Mus musculus: one gene and its partner. The protein of the gene in region 1 purifies or fractionates together with the protein of each later gene. This does not show direct contact. Links are inferred from orthologs where the notes say so. Each region holds a gene or a part of one and is shown in the gene's direction. Other genes may lie near its edges. The genes, in order: Gemin2 and Snrnp70.

What was found.
Region 2: the proteins of Gemin2 (region 1) and Snrnp70 purify together in Homo sapiens (affinity purification with mass spectrometry; 5 studies listed by BioGRID and IntAct, counting the BioPlex papers as one, with this or other methods). This does not show direct contact. The link is inferred for Mus musculus from reciprocal best matches to the Homo sapiens genes GEMIN2 and SNRNP70.

What each region holds. Positions count from the first base shown.
Region 1 is NC_000078.6:59,016,155-59,019,974, forward strand, and holds part of Gemin2 (gem-associated protein 2), read left to right. Parts: intron 1-711; coding exon 712-801; intron 802-1,013; coding exon 1,014-1,073; intron 1,074-1,857; coding exon 1,858-1,971; intron 1,972-3,820. UniProt on the Homo sapiens protein: The SMN complex catalyzes the assembly of small nuclear ribonucleoproteins (snRNPs), the building blocks of the spliceosome, and thereby plays an important role in the splicing of cellular pre-mRNAs.
Region 2 is NC_000073.6:45,375,639-45,378,747, reverse strand, and holds the end of Snrnp70 (U1 small nuclear ribonucleoprotein 70 kDa), read left to right. Parts: intron 1-1,304; coding exon 1,305-1,392; intron 1,393-1,469; coding exon 1,470-2,151; 3' UTR 2,152-2,294; downstream 2,295-3,109. UniProt on the Homo sapiens protein: Component of the spliceosomal U1 snRNP, which is essential for recognition of the pre-mRNA 5' splice-site and the subsequent assembly of the spliceosome. SNRNP70 binds to the loop I region of U1-snRNA.

The sequences.
Region 1 (3,820 bases):
TCTACATCTTCATCCAAAGGCTGCTAGTGGAAGACTGACTCCCAGGCAACTAGGGTGAGGATCTTATACCCACACCCACAGTGACACACCTATTCCAACCAGGTCACACCTATTCCAAAAAGTCCACACCTCCAAATGGTGCCACTCCTTGGTCCAAGAATATACAAACCATCACACCACCCATCAACAAAGTAAAGGAAATCAAGTAGACCTTTTCACGTCTTTAAGTTATTGGGTATATTTTGACCTTCCCAAATTCTTTATTTGGGGTATATCTCTTTTTTGTTTGTTTGTTTTTCTTCACTGTTCTAGAATCATCAGCCAGCTGGTGGTGGCACACACCTTTAATCCCAGCATTTGGGAGACAGAGACAGGTGGATCTCTTTGAGTTTGAGGCCAGCCTCAACTAGTGATCTGAAGGAGTTCCAGGCATCCAAGGCTACCCAATGAGACCGGGGGAGGGGGGGGGGCAGTTATATTCTTAGTTCATAGAATTTAGATTTCATAGAGACTTCACCCATAATCATTTAGTCCGTATTTTTTAGTAAGATGCCAAAGAATCTGTTTTAGTAACTGGTACATAGATTGTAAAGTGAGCTGCCTGCTTTTCTGCTCTGATAAAATGTACCTTTATTTTCTTATATAATCTTAGACATAAGATTCTAGTTACAACACTAACATTGACTCTAACATGTGTGGACTGATTTTCAGCTTTCCGGATGCCAGCCTGCGCCTGAAGGTTACTCTCCAACACTTCAGTGGCAACAACAACAAGTGGCACATTTTTCAACTGTTCGACAGGCAAGTGTCCCTTTTAATGAAATTAACCTCCTTCGGGTGTATTTCTGTTCTAAGACTAAAAAATTATAAATACGTAAGTATTTATGAGTGAGTTACCAAATTGTTCTAATCCTTAAACATATTAGTATGTATTTTCTGTGAATGTTTAAAATTTTATACAAAAACTTTTTTGTTTTTCATTCTTTGAAGAGCATTTATTTTTCTTCCTTTAGAGTGTACACAAGCATAGAAATCACTGGAAATCACAACAGTTGGACAGTAATGTGGCAATGGTAAATGAGTTTCTTGGCTTAAATTGTCTAGTATATACCTGTGTGAAATAATCCATAGTCTAGTCTTTAAAGAGTTAATTGGTTATTCCTATTATTTTTATTTTTCATCATATGCCATTATGTAAGTTTATCAATTTGCTATAGTAATAGTCTGGACCAGTTCATATTTTTTTCTTCTCTTTATTTGAGAGTATCACTATATCACCCCAGCTGGTATGGAACTCATTCTGTAGACCAGGCTAACTCAGACACGGGGATCTGTCTGCTTCTGCCTCTGGAGTGCCGGCGTGTTCTCATGCCTGGCCCATGACTGTTTTAATTAGCCTTATCTTGAGAGATTTACGGTAGATGTTGTTGTCAGGGTCAAAATAGAATATTAATGGTATATCAGTTGTAGTAAAATAAGTAAATAAGGCTGAGAAGTTGGAAAGTGTTCTTAGGTATTACTGCCTTGTAATAGTTGTTCTTTATGTGCACACACAAGTGAATAATAGAGAGGCCATGTGATTGGATTAGACTTCACTCATGCCTCCAGCTGCAGTCACAGCCTACAGTTCTGGCAGTGAGAGCTGCAGCATAGGGATTTAAAGGGCAGCATACTTACGCAGTTATGTCCTTAACTAGTACCGCGTCTTTGTGTTGGGAACAGTCAGGATGTGTGAAACCTTCACTTTTTTTTTTTTTTTTTAAGAAAATGTGCCAAAATTTTTAGTTGTTTATTTCTTGCATTTGAAGTATCCTTCAGTGATTTCGTTGGCTTCATTTTTTTTACTTTTTCCTTCAGCCAAAATCTGAAGATGAAGAAGGCTGGAAAAAATTTTGTCTGGGTGAAAGGTTATGTGCTGAAGGGGCCACTGGACCGTCTACAGAGGAAAGCCCTGGGATCGATTATGTACAAGTAGGTGGTGCCATAGGTAAACACACCAAGTGACACAGAGGGCAGACATCTGTTAGGCGATCGGAACGATCAGTCCACAGCCTCTGCCAGATTCAGACCGCAGCCTGCTTGTGTGTACCTCATGACCTGAGAGTCACTTGCTCTTTCACAGGCTGAGAAAGACAAAGCCGAGTCCCAGCACTTGTGAGGCAGAGGCAGGTAGAGCTCTGTGTGTTTGAGGATAGCCTGGACTACACAGAGAAATCCTGTCTCAAAAAAAAAAGAACAAGTCTGACCACCGAGATGTTGTGTGACTGGCAAAGATCAGGACTGTCCAATTCTGTGTAGGAGATGCTTGCCAGGCTCTCAGTTAGGTCATGGCTGGTTGACTTAGAGAGTGTCAGTCAAGTTTGTAAAATAATGTACCAGGCTCCTATCTCTTTAGTGTTAGATATATAATAATCTTATAAATTAAAAGATATTCTTTTAGTAAAGGGAGTTTTTGTTTGTTTTATTTTGGGACAGGGTCTCCTTGCCTGGATGGCCTTGCCACTCCTTCTTCCCCCCAGAGTCATCTGGATAGCTAGGGTACTGAGTGTATGTTATCCTTTCTTCCTAGGATTCAGGGCTTGGTACTTTGTTTGTTCTGATCAGGGTATTTTGTGAAGCAGGATTAGGAACTAATAAAAACATTTTAATATGAATTCAAAACACAGAGACTAGTGGAGAAAGAGGCACTCAGAATACACACCCTAGAACATCAGTGTGGACTTCTCAAGAGTCACTTTAGGGTTTTGGTGTTTTGCTTTGTTTTCAAAATTATTGGGCCTGGATTAAATATTAAGTTTTAAGTAGTCAGAAACAAAGAAAAACATATAATTAGAGAACTTTTTTTTTAAAGATTTATTTATCACTATAAGTACACTTTAGCTAGAGGGCATCAGATCTCATCATGAGTGGCTGTGAGCCACCATGTGGTTGCTGGGATTTGAACTCAGGACCTTCGGAAGAGCAGTCAGCGCTCTAACCCACTGAAACATGTTGCCAGCCCTAGAAAACCCTTGTTTTTGTTTTGTTTTGTGTTTTTTGTCTTCTTGTCAGATAGGGACTCACTGTGTAACCCTGGCTGGCCTGGAACTCCTGTGTAGACCAGGCTGGCCTGGAACTCCTGTGTAGACCAGGCTGGCCTCAAACTCAGAGATCCTCCTGCTTCTGTTTTCTGAGTGCTGGGAGTCATACCTGGCCCAATTAGGAAATTTTTAGAGTAATTAATACATATCCTTCACATGAAATCTTGAGAGTATATTTTAGTTTTTGGTGACTTTGTGGAGGACATTGAGACAGTCCTAGCCAGGCTGGCCTATAAGTCACTGTGTAAGCCAGAATGACCTGACTTCAAATCCTCATGATACCACACCCAAACCATGTGCGTAGCTACTATAGCCGTACATGTTGTGCCTAACTCCTTGTTCTTCACGATTGACCTGCATCTAAGTTTGAAGGTACCTCCATCACACGCGTTGTAAGTGCCAGCAGACGGCTCAGTGCCTTCAAGCCTGACAACTTGAGTTCAGTCACCAGAACCCACATGGTAGAAAAAGTCCATGGAGAAAGTCAACTCCTGAAGATAGTCCTTCCATGTACACACACATACACACACAGTCACAGAGATACATGAAATTTTTAAAAATCACTCAGTGATCCTCCTGCCTCAGTCTCACAAGTACTGAGTGCTAAGATTACAACCACCATTGCCTGGTTAAGAATATGATTTTAATAAATAAAATTTTTAAAGTATGAAATGTTTTAAAATGCTACTTAAAAACATTAGCTTTCTTTCATTTGAAGCAGTTTTATATATTCTACAATA
Region 2 (3,109 bases), on another chromosome or scaffold:
GTAGCCTGGCTGTCCTGGAACTCACTCTGTAGACCAGGCTGGCCTCAGAAATCTGCCTGCCTCTGCCTCCCGAGTGCTGGGATTAAAGGCGTGCGCCACCACTGCGCAGCTGTTTCCTGTTTTTTTTGTTTGTTTGTTTTGTTTTGTTTTTTTTAAGCAACCCAAATTACAGAACTCTTACTATAGACATTTTCTTGTATTGATAATGGCCTAGCTCATTGTTAGACTGTGATCCAGCAGCTGGAAGTCTGGGTCCTGCTTTGCAGTAGTCCAACCTGTTATCTATACCTAGTTTAACAGCCTAGCATGTGGCTGACCTCTTCGCTTTGCCTGTGCTCCTGTGTGAAACACAGCCCCACCTCACTAAACCTTCAGGTGGATGGTGCAGGAAACCACCACAGGCAGATGGGATTCTGAGACATGACCCTCCTTGCCAAGTCACTGGGGCAAGTGGCTCATTAGTAGATCCCTGTCTGAAAGATAAGACTGTCACCTGCTCCCTTGTGCTATTGGTTGGGTGAAAATCACCTTTATAGACCACGTATTGAATCTGCAAGTTTGAAGTATTCGTGGCACATCAGAATCTGGGGAGGTGTGGTAGTGCTTTCTTTGAACAGTTGGGGAGGTACTGATGGCCTCTAACAGTTCGTTGGAGCGTGCTATAGTGTGATGAGCAGGGCAGGGTCTGAGTTGGTGCTTTGAGACTGACAGGGAAGTAGAAGGTACAGAGACAAGGAAGGTGAGCTCACTCCTCAGAAGGTAAATGTTACATGGCTAAGGTGGGGAGCACGAGGCAGCTGAGAAGGCTGGAAATGTAGTGTACCCTGGGAATCTAGGTGTGGCAGGTGTTCCAACTTCTGGGTTTGTTTTGTTTCGTCTCACCACGTAGTGGCTGACCTGAAGCTCACTGTGGGCCAGGCTGCCTCTGCTCCAAAGTATGAGATTAAAGGGGTACAATCCCAAACCTAGCTTCTTTCAGCTTTTCTATGAGTTCACACTTTGGACTTTATGCTCAAAGTACAAATTGGTAGTGGACTAGCCTAAATAAAACCTCAAGCCTCAGGTAAGATGGACAGCTTGGGAGTCAAGAAGGTTCTTGTTGGGGTGTCCTCAGCTCTAGCACTTTGTAAAAGTCTTGTGGATAACATGGCTATCCTACAACCAGTGGACATGGAAGTGATTGGCAGGAGATTATGCCCCATGGCAGTTAGTAGGGGTGCTTGTTTTTTTGTCAGCTGCATAGGCCCCTTTAAGATTTTCCCCTTTGTACTGTTTCCACTGACCTTGTGTTCCTTTGCCCGTAGGAGGTGGCCTTGGTGGTACCAGAAGAGGTGGGGCAGATGTGAATATCAGGCATTCGGGCCGAGATGACACTTCCCGATATGATGAGAGGTAAGATTGGGCATCTGGTTTCTTGGGATAGGGCAGTCACAAGGGGTGCCCTGCCACACAGTGCTAACCTCATATAGGCCGGGCCCCTCCCCGCTTCCACACAGAGACCGGGACCGGGACCGCGAGCGGGAGCGCAGAGAAAGAAGCCGAGAACGAGACAAGGAGAGAGAAAGGAGACGCTCCCGCTCTCGGGACCGGAGGAGGCGCTCCCGGAGTCGAGACAAGGATGAGCGGCGACGGTCCAGGGAGCGTAGCAAGGACAAGGACCGAGACCGAAAGCGACGAAGCAGTCGGAGCCGGGAGCGAGCACGCAGGGAACGGGAGCGAAAAGAGGAGCTTCGAGGTGGAGGAGGTGGTGGCGGTGGTGGCAGTGGTGGTGGTGGCGGCGGCGACATGGCTGAACCCTCTGAAGCTGGTGATGGAGCTCCTGATGATGGGCCTCCTGGAGAGCTTGGCCCTGAAGGCCCTGATGGCCCAGAGGAGAAGGGCCGGGATCGAGACCGGGAGAGGCGACGTAGTCACCGGAGTGAGAGGGAACGTCGTCGGGACCGAGACCGTGATCGGGATCGAGAGCACAAGCGTGGGGAGCGGGGCAGTGAGCGGGGCAGGGATGAGGCCCGGGGTGGGGGTGGCAGCGGTCAGGACAATGGGCTGGAAGGGCTAGGTAGTGATGGTCGAGACATGTACATGGAGGCAGAGGGTGGTGATGGGTACATGGCCCCAGAGAATGGATATCTGATGGAGGCAGCGCCCGAATGAAGAGGCCTGTAGTGGACATGCTCCTAATCTTGCTGTCTGCCTTCCTAGCCTTTTCCACCTTGGCTTGCCTCTGAGGGTAGATTTTTTTTTTTAATCCGGTCCCTTGGATTTAAAAATAAAATTAATTTTCTGTTGATAGTGGGCATGTGATGTCTTACTGCACTTGCTGTCTTTCCAAAAGGCCACTTCCTACTGCTCAACTCCCTTTGGTATACTGCACGTGTTATAACCTGAAGTAGAGGCTGTTCTCCCAGGCACTGTAGCTGCTTTACAAGTGAGAGGGAAGCCCTGGCTCTCATAACAGGCTGCATCTTTAAGTGAGAGAACAGCAGGCAAAGAGGCAGGATGCCAGCCATCAGCAGTTGGTACCCACACATTTCTGGATGGAAGGCAGCTGGGAGAGCTTTGAGTATGGTGGGCCCTGAGGAAGCTGGGGCCAGCCTGGCACAGTCCTGAAGAAAGGCTGAAGGTAGTCCCATTGAGGGCTGAATGATAGTACTCCAATCTGCTGCTTAAGGCTTATAAGTCTTTACATATAACCAAGGACAGATACCACCAGAGAGCTGAGAAGCATCTACATCATGAGAGCACAGATAGCTGGTCCTGAAAGGGAACTTCACTCATTCCTGTGTTTGCCACATTTGCAGGTAGGCTTATGGTTTTACTAAGAGCATCTTGCTGTAGAAATCTTGGGGCAATGAAAACTTGTGACAGGCATTAGAGACAGGAATTGATGTTTAACATTGCCTTCATGTGCCACATTTGACATCTGTCTCAAACTGCTAGTGTCATTTGGATAGATTTTAAGAGGTAGGACTGGGAGGAAATAGCTCATTAGGGGATGGTTATGGGGTGGGGTTGTGCTGTTTCTTCTCATCCTGTGATGAGAAGCAATGCCACAGGTTCCTGCTAAGTATATGGGGCCAAGTAGCTATGGACTTAACCCTCAGAAATGATG